Linked DNA regions of Drosophila melanogaster. The protein of the gene in region 1 purifies or fractionates together with the protein of each later gene. This does not show direct contact. Each region holds a gene or a part of one and is shown in the gene's direction. Other genes may lie near its edges.

Region 1 (4,935 bases):
CCTCGCGTTTAGATACAGAGGAGCTACCACTCCGCACATACTTCTTTTCTCGATCCACCTCCTCTTTGTTAGATTTGGCTTCCTTGTACGATTTTCGCTCGTCTTTGTACGTCCTGCGATGTTCGTCTTTGTACGTTTTTTTGTCTTCATATTTGTAAGACCTTTTATCTTCTTCCTTGCATTTCATGCGATAGTCTTCTTTACTAGATCTCTGGTCCCCTGGCTTCGAACTCTTTTGATTTTGAGCTTCATCCCGGTCTGATCTAATTTCTTCCCTGCGGTCTCTGTCCCTTCTTCCTGACGGATTTTCCTGCTTCACAATAATCTGGCCATGCTCGTTTTCATTTTTTTTGAATTCTTCGTATTTGGCAGTGTCTGAAAGTAAATGTAAAAGAAATATAAAAATGTCACAAATATAAAGGATTTGCATTTTCCAGGCTCCACTTACTTATGCACTTGCCATACTGAGAGTACTCCTTGCGGGATACGGGCTGACAAAGGAACTCGTTGAACGCCTCTTTGGCCCCTCCAATTGCCATTTTGACAATTACTCGCCCTGCATGGTCATCAAAACCTTGGATTTGGCCATACTGATCCTTCTGCTTTCCGCCCAGAATGCGCACGTACGCCTGCTTCTTAATCTCCAGTACCTCGTTCTTCTCCGGCTGGACCAGTAGAGCTTTAGGTTTGAGCGCCTTATCTGCTCCCAGGCCCATGCCTTTGGGTCGCAGAAAGGGGGCATCATCGATGGGTCCTGAGCCCTTCTTTTTTGGCGGTGGATCAACCCAGCCCATGCCGCGCAGCATGGCTAGGCCAAATTGTTGTATCGGTATGTTGTCATAGTCATCTAGTGTTGCCTCCTTGGCACCATCGAGAGGCAGTTCGTCTGCGCTTAGGGCGGGCAGGACAAGTTTCTGGTCATCTAGGCCTTCGGCACCGTTATTTTGGATGGCAGATATCAATTCCCGAGCTGCTCTCTGTTCCAGACTCTCCGTTGGACCGCCTGCGGTGACCTCTGCTATAGACTGAGCCACTGGAGTCACCTCCTCTGGATCCGGTTCCTCCTCGCCCAGCAGAACTGCCCGCCTCCTCATCAGACTCGCCAAAGCGGACGAAGTCTTCTGCATGCCTATCATTTTGATGGTAAGAGGAGCAGCTTCCACCTTTTCGCTAAATATTACATATGAGTATAAAACTATTTCAAGATATTTTAACTTACTCGACTGGCATGATTTCGTTTCCTTCCAAGCATTTTATCAACTCCACCTTGCTTTCCTCTTTCGGCTGCTTGCTGGGCAGAATGTTTGGTTTCTTGGACAATTTACTAAAGCCAAAAGATATCTTCTTGGCCTCCATGTTGTCTAGTTAAAAAATTAATAACTATTAAAAACAAATTGAAGCCGAAATGTATCGTAAACAAACAGGCCACAGCTGACTCGCGGTTTGTTATCGATATCGATAATTTATTTAATTTATGAAACGCTTACACTACACTTTTAAAGTATTTGCAAAACTTATTTGTTTTTCCATTTATATATAAAAACTACCATGAAATCCATTTAATACGTTTTGAGCAGTTTTATTGAATACAGCACAGGATCTTCAAATATTAAAAAGTTCGACGCTGTTTATGTAACTCATCATTCCAAGTAATCACTTTTCCCCCGTTATATTCAGAATATCCTCCAACATTTTCTTTTTCGAAGGTGATACAATTTTCATAAATTATATTTTAACTTCTTTTGAGTTTAGTTGGTTAGGCTTTTTAGGCTTCAAAATTTCCACATTTTAATTATGATGTGATAGAAATATGCTATATAACATAAATTTAAAATCCATTCGTAATATAAATTAATTTCCAGTATCACTTACACCGTAGAAAATATTATTTATTGTTACAAGTTTAATGTTTTGATTTCGCTTAAACCTCAGGGTGGAAAATTTAAAACCAAGTTAGGCGCCTTCAAAAAATCGCAGTTATGACGAATGTAATTCTGTGACATCGATAACAAAAGCTGCATAGTGTAAGTATACTGTTTCTCGATATCGATTCTTAAGAGAGCTGCTGCTTCGAATTGTGGAGAATTTGAATTAAACTTATAAGCGATCGCAAAAGTCAGTTAGCAGTAAGTGAGGAAAGAAAAGAAACTAGAAGAAGGAACTGGCAGAAGTAACTAACAAGCCGGTCCGCTCAATATCCTATCGAACCTTCTCGAATAATGTGTCATCGGCGGTTCTAACCTCACTCATTCTCTTTCAAACAGCGGCAGCGCCAGCACGAGTTCAATTGTTTTCACGCAGAAATAAATTAAACAGCCAGAAAGATGTTCGGTGGACAGCAGCCAATACTCGTGTTGAGTGAGTATGAAATTTGCACGTCGTAGAGCCCAATTGCAATCGAATTACCCGCCGACAGGTCAAAACACAAAGAGAGAATCGGGCCGCAAAGTGCAGTTGGAGAACATCCAAGCCGGAAAGGTATGCGTGACTCACATGTCTGGGTCTTGGGTTTTTGTGTTCTCGCGTTTTCCGACCATCTGTTGATTAAAACGTCTTTTTCCAGGCCATCGCCGATGTGATACGCACATGTCTGGGGCCACAGGCCATGCTGAAGATGCTGATGGACCCAATGGGCGGCATCGTGATGACCAACGATGGCAACGCCATCCTGCGTGAGATCACTGTGCAGCACCCGGCGGCCAAGAGCATGATTGAAATTGCTCGCACACAAGACGAGGAGGTTGGCGATGGTACCACATCGGTCATCGTCCTGGCCGGCGAGATGCTGGCCGCCGCCGAGCCCTTCCTCCAGCAACAGATCCACCCCACTGTTATCATTCGCGCCTATCGCGAGGCCCTCGAGGACATCGTCGGCCACCTGCAGTCCCAGCTTAGCATCCAGTTGGACGTCAAGGATAAGGCCAAGATGGCCGATGTGGTCAAGGCCTGTGTGGGCACCAAGTTCATTGGCAAGTGGTCCGACCTTGCCGTCAAGATTGCCCTGGACGCAGTCGAGACAGTGACGCTAAGTGAGAACGGCCGTCTGGAGGTAGACATTAAACGGTAAGAACGAAATTTGTTATGCATATTATTTTTGAATAAATAATTTTAACTTTGTTACTTTCACAGCTATGCCAAGGTGGAGAAGATCCCGGGTGGCGCCATCGAGGAGTCGTGTGTTCTTAAGGGCGTGATGATCAACAAAGACGTGACGCATCCCAAGATGCGACGCCTCATCGAGAATCCCCGCATCGTGCTGCTTGACTGCTCGCTGGAGTACAAGAAGGGCGAGAGCCAAACCAACGTGGAGATAATCGGGGAGCAAGACTTCACCCGCATGCTGCAGATCGAGGAGGAGTTTGTGCAGCGCATCTGCGCCGACATCATTGCCGTGAAACCGGATTTGGTATTCACTGAGAAGGGTGTCTCCGATCTCGCCCAGCACTATTTGCTGAAGGCTGGCATCACGGCCATCCGTCGGCTGCGTAAGACTGACAATCTGCGCATCGCCCGCGCCTGTGGTGCCACCATCGTGAACCGCACTGAGGAGCTAACCGAGAAGGATGTGGGCACGGGAGCTGGACTGTTCGAAGTCAAAAAGATCGGCGATGAGTACTTCACTTTCGTGACGGAGTGCAAGGAGCCCAAGGCCTGCACCATCCTGCTGCGCGGTGCCAGCAAGGACATCTTGAACGAAACGGAGCGCAACCTGCAGGACGCCCTGCACGTGGCCCGCAACTTGGTGCTGGAGCCACGCCTGGTGGCTGGCGGCGGAGCCGTTGAGATGGCTGCCTCCCAGCTGCTCACGCGCAAGCAGGTTAAGGGACCATACACGGCGGTGGCCCACGCCCTAGAGATCATACCGCGCACACTGGCTCAGAATTGCGGCGCCAACACGATCCGTGCTCTGACTGCTCTCCGCGCCAAGCACGCCTCCCACACCGGCGATGGTGTCTGCGCCTGGGGCATCGACGGCGAGTCCGGCGAAATCGTGGACATGAACGTGAAGAACATCTGGGAGCCGCTGGCCGTCAAGCTTCAGACCTACAAGACCGCCGTGGAGACGGCCATCCTGCTGCTGCGCATCGATGATATCGTCTCTGGATCAAAGAAACGCGGCGGCAACGAGCCCACCAATCCGGCGGCCATGGCCCAGGGTCAGGAGTAGTAGCCTGCGATTAACCACGTGTATTAATAATGCTTACTATCCTTTAATACTTAATTTAACACTCAAAAGAAAAAACAAAACAAAATCCCACACACGCCACCCCAAATGTTTAACATTTAGCTTCAGCCAGGCATCGTTGGCTTCTCTGGAAGAAGGAAACCCATCCGCCGGCCGCCTACACACAAAATTCAAATGCATTTGCTCTCATTAACAGTACACAAATAAAATTGTTAAAACTCATAGCTGCTTATAAATCCCTTATTTAATGAGGTACTTGTAAAAATTAAATACAATAATTAGGCGTAGCTAATTTACCTCCTCCTGGTTGCAATGTTCTACTTTACGGACTTCATATAGCCTTTCGTCCATCAGTTTGAGCACTTCTAAGCCAATTGAAGTGAAGTGGGGATGCAGATATCGGGCAAACAGCTCCAGGCAGTTTGGTTCCAGCTGGTCCTTATCCAACAGGAGGTGCTCCCTCAGCCAAGACAGCAGTGGTGGCTTGTGGGAATGCACAATGCTGGGCACGCTGAAGATCAGCTCGGTCTGTTGGATATCTTTTCCATAGTTTTCAGAAGCATCGGAGCGACAGGCCACGTAGAGCATCTCGTAAGGCTGCTTCTGGGTGAGATCCGACTGCGGGGGAGCAATTAGTTCATGGTCTGTGCTAAGTTTGTACCATCGGAGCTTGTGGAGCAACCGGAGATTCCAACTGGGCAGCAGCTGCTGCTCCAGGGCCAACTGATGCAGCGTCGAATTGGTGCACC
Region 2 (4,853 bases), on another chromosome or scaffold:
CTATTCCATTTTTAAGGGAATATACAGTTATTAAAATAAAATATTTTCATACCCAACTTTACTTGGTTAGTCCAAATATTTGTATAGCCCTTTAAGGAGTTTATTATGTTGTAACTTGGATAGAATGGATTCCAGAATAGTTCCGGAAATGACTTGAAACTGTATTTCCGGCTTTCACATTTAATTTACATTTTAGCGTGGACACCTACCGCAATGGTTTGGTTATATGCTAACGCTTTCCTTAAGCTCTTGTAAAAGTTTTGTAAGTACTAGTGTTATACGGAGATTTTGTTAACAATTTCATTGAAGTATTTACATACGTAAGAATTTCAACAGAAATGTATCCTCCCAGTCGGGTTCATTTAAAAGGATTAACGGTATTTTGAAAAATAAATTATACAAAAAGATTTACAATCTATAACGTAGCTTAGAAAATGAATTTCAATTATCATTTTATTATATATTTTATAGAAATTGACTTGAATAATGTGGTGTCCATTGCAAAACGGATTAGCAGGACTAGACTTATATTACGAGTCATTTTTCGATTCTCCCACTTATGTATATTGTTCAATTGACCTTTGATAATACAAAATTGCCTAGATTTCAAATAATATTACGTATACTAAAATTTATATATGTATGAAGTTGTTAGCCAGTTTCTTTCTTTTTTTTTCCATGAAATATTGAAATCTTCCTTCCGTTTTGCTTTGAAGTTCAAGTTATTTATTATTTGTTGTATTCTGCAAACAGCTGTTTGCATTTCGGCCGGCGTCGCAAAAGCAACAATTTTCAACCGCGTAAAGCTTTTGGCCTCTTGAGCCATAATTTCATACAGGTTGCAGGCTTGGAAAAATAACTCAATCTGGACTCACCTACTCACTCTCACTCTCTCCCTCTCCCTCTTCCAACCTTTCCTTTATTCACTCACTCTCCCACGCGATTTTTGGAACAAAAACGACGGCAGAGGAAATGCAGCGCAGTCGACGCCAAAAGGGATATTTTATATTATATATTAAGCCCGTCCTTAAATATGAATTTCCCAATCCTATTCTTATTCAAATTATAAAATGTATATTTAGCTTTAAGTTTAAAATATTGTTAAGTCGTACTCGGCTTCATTACGTAAATATCTTATTCATATAATTTTTGTACACGTAGTGTCACATGATAGAGTAATCAAATAAATGCATTTGGTAATAAGCTGATCTTCTGGACATTCAAATAACTATGCTCAAAAACCTTGCTGGCCCTTGATTCACTTAATAACTCAATTTTAGGACTTTCAGTGGGTGGAAATTTCCCTGGCACCCACGCAAACGAACGGGTTAAAAGATAGTGAAAAAGAGAGAGCGCACGAAAGCAACAATTGCTTACTCTTATGCACAAAGAAAAAATACTAACAACTTCAATTTTTGCATTGAATTACATAGAATTCGATAGAAAAGCCCAGGTCAAATAAAAAATTAAAACAATAATTTAGATAACGACTTATTTGATGTTAGATATTAGATTTAATTCGGTTAATGGGTAAGTTAGAAGAAATAATGTAAATTTTTGCATTGCAATAATGAAGCAATGAAACAAGCTTTACGTTAACGTCACATGAACTACCGTTAGCGAGCGAACAGTGCAGAAAGCGCTCAAGAGCGCGGAGCATTCCAATGCGTTGGAGTAAGAGCGTGCAGAATTCGTGGGAGCAAATTGGCGCCCGAATCAGCCGCTTTTCGTAACTCACTCAATGCGAATTGTTTTCAAGCGCCGGAGAGAATCTATATAGAGGGGCTTCTCCGACTCGCTTCGAATATGTTTTTCGCAGCGCGCGCGTTCGCATCGGAAAATCAGAAAAGCTGGCAAGCGTTTAAAAACAAATTCGGCAGGTACAATTGTTACTTGTTTTCCCCTCAGTTGACTATTTCGTCGCAGGTTTTTGGCCAGCGGAAACCATCGTAATAACCGTTTATCGTTATTTTATTATATTCGCGTAAATCGTTGTTTGTTCAACCACAGAATACTTGTTGTTACGCATTTCGAAAATGGAAATGCGAAAATTTCCAAGCAGTGAAAATCAAAACGAATAAAATATATTGGCTGCTTTTCGTGTTTAGCGCGTACGTGTGTGTTTCTGTGTTAGTGAGTGCAGCAAGAAATAAAACCAAAAAGCAACAAATAAATAAATAGAAAACAAAAGCAAAATCAAATCCAAATTCAAAGGCAAATACTTGCAAAGTAAGTTGATAATATCAGAGTGTGGTGCTAGCATATGTTGCATTATTTTGCCCAGCAATTTACATGTTTTTCACATTTTCTTCTCTCACAAATGACAACTAACTAATATGGATGATATTAACGGTGTTTAGAGTTGGCTTTTCCATTGAGAAATATGAAAAAATGCGTTCAATATGTTAGCGTACACACACACACAAGCGGCGGCTAACTGTTGTTTGTGTGTATGTGGGTGAATTGGCAATAACGCGCACGTGTATTAGTGTGTGTTTGTTTTTGTTGCCTTTGCGGCCAAGTGGCAGCAAAACGTTGCAAGCAACAAAAACAATAACTACGATGGCAAAACAAGTGCAGTCAGCAAAACCAACTCAACCAGTGCCTCTCGCGCTCTCCCACTCTCTCTCTCTCTAATACCCAAGCCCACCTCCTGCTCCCACACTCACCCTTCTCCCTCGCACCCATTGACGCAACTGCATGGTCAGGGCTTCTTTTACTGTTACAAAGCTCATGCGTGGACCCAATAGCAAAATGAATGCACGATGTACTTAGTTCATTAATTCCGCCAAATCAGAAATTATAATTATAAATGTACGAGTTTAATGGATTAAAGTTAGGTGTACGTAATTTTTTTAATTGTATGACCACTTTGGTGAAGCATAACCGTGGTATGAAGCTATTACAATTTCATGAACTTGGCGGCATAAACTTTGCAATTTACTATCTATGGTCGTCTTTGGATTTTTGGCTTCGCGCTTTTTGCTCTTCGAAGTGCGCTGCTCTCTTTGCGCCAAACAAAGCTCGGCCGACACTTGTCGCGTCTTTTGGATATCTGGCCTCCTCCCACCGCCCACTGCCTCTTTACATATATCTTTTACATTTTTTGCTTTCATACACTGAATAAAATTATGGGTATATACCGTACTATCAAATGTTTCTGAGTAAAAATTAATTTAAATAAAAAATTTAATTATATAATTATAAAATTATTATATAATCACTTGTATTTAATGTTGTATGTGTTGCAAATCCATTAATACTTTTAAACTTCTAGGCTTAAAAACAAATGTCTGTGAAAAAAGTGGAATTCTTGGAAAGTGTATCTCTTTGGCTTTTCCACCTCGAGGCGTTTTCGCTTGAAGCTTTTGCGAGTTTGGTTCGATTTCCATTTGCGTTTAATTGCATTTATGCATTTTTAATCGAGTTTGACTTTGGTGAGCTTTTTACTTTGGCATATGCTAGATTGTCGCCCAGACACACGGGGTTTTTTTGGGTGAAAATGGGCTCTTGCTGATCCAAAAGATAAGTTTCAGTTTCGTCCTTCTTGGTAGTGAGATGTTTGGACAAAGTTTTCTAATTGGCCTTGACGCCGTTTTCAGAGTTTTAGTGCTACTAAAAGGCAAGAGTGCGAACTTTCTGCGTCTTTAATAAGATAATTTATTTGCAATTATAATTTGGTTCATTAAAGTTAATTGAATTAAGGGCAGGCGTTACATTCCAACCAAATGGAATGACAATGGGTGTGGGGTTAAAGATAAAAGGATTTTAGTTAGTGAGGAATATATTTTGTGATAATAACGGGTAATTAAATTTTTTTTTATTTTAAACTGAACCGCTATTAGGCAATTTTGGGCATTAAATAGTTAAAAGCTTTAGATACACAGTTTCAATGCGGTATACAAAACTTCATTAATTTTCGATTAATCTAGTATTTTTATACTATAATTTAAAAACCTTACGTCATTTATTGTTTTAAATCAAATTTTAAATTTAAATATTTTAAGATATTCCACTTCTCCAAAGAGGTTTTTTTCGAACAATTTTTAACTCACAGCCAACAGCTGTTGCATCCTAAGCAAACATTTGTATGTTTAACTTAGTCCTCTTGAAAGCTCAATTAAAGTCGCGTGTATAACCGCCCACTACCCAGGGATTCTCTAAACTTCTACACTCCGAACACACACGCCAAGTTTGCAACTTGGCATATGTTTATCTGCTAATCATGGAAATGCGATGCGGTGTTGCAAAATATTTATCTAGAAACGGTTGACTAAAAAAGAGGGAAATAAGCGAAACAGCTTTTCAGCCAAACTGCAAATGGGAAAGCAGCCCCCTTACCGGTTTCCCACTTTTCCGGCACGGCGACCATATGCCAAAAAGCTGAACCAAAAATCGCACACACATTTGGGGATAAAACGCGATGCGAAAAAAGCATAAGTAGGCTGCTGTGACATTTCGTTGTCTGGGTATACGCTCATCGCGAACAAGGATACAGGAGCATTAGGGTGGAGCAATTTGTTCGAAGCTAAATATAAAAAACTTCAATATTGATTAAACTTGTTCATGCATATAGGACTTAAACTAAGTAAAGATCTGAACTAAAATTAAGTGCTTTTTTTTTAATAGAAGAAATATTAAGATCAGCTATTTTTGCGGACTGTTGATTTCCTTTTAGCGCTTAAACCTTTATAAGAATATACTTGGCATTTCAAGACTTTCGTAAATTCAGAACTTGGCTTAGATTGACGCACCCTGATAAAAGCACACTTATAAAGGCACACATTTGTATATCCGCACATCGGCACACACAAATAATTCGCCGTGCTATGTATGCCAGTATGCCGAAAAAA

What was found. Proteins that work in one complex are often made in the same cells at the same time.
Region 2: the proteins of CCT3 (region 1) and mtgo purify together in Drosophila melanogaster (affinity purification with western blotting, with the first as the bait; one study listed by BioGRID). This does not show direct contact.

What each region holds. Positions count from the first base shown.
Region 1 is NT_033777.3:16,645,572-16,650,506, forward strand, and holds CCT3 (chaperonin containing TCP1 subunit 3), read left to right. Parts: upstream 1-2,033; 5' UTR 2,034-2,324; coding exon 2,325-2,358; intron 2,359-2,416; coding exon 2,417-2,478; intron 2,479-2,563; coding exon 2,564-3,063; intron 3,064-3,129; coding exon 3,130-4,168; 3' UTR 4,169-4,407; downstream 4,408-4,935. Other genes in the region: CG10324 (uncharacterized protein), read right to left, coding at 1-375, 449-1,170, 1,220-1,356; Mettl4 (methyltransferase like 4), read right to left, coding at 4,475-4,935. UniProt on the Drosophila melanogaster protein: Molecular chaperone; assists the folding of proteins upon ATP hydrolysis. Known to play a role, in vitro, in the folding of actin and tubulin.
Region 2 is NT_033779.5:16,543,210-16,548,062, forward strand, and holds the start of mtgo (miles to go), read left to right. Parts: upstream 1-1,806; 5' UTR 1,807-2,229; intron 2,230-4,853.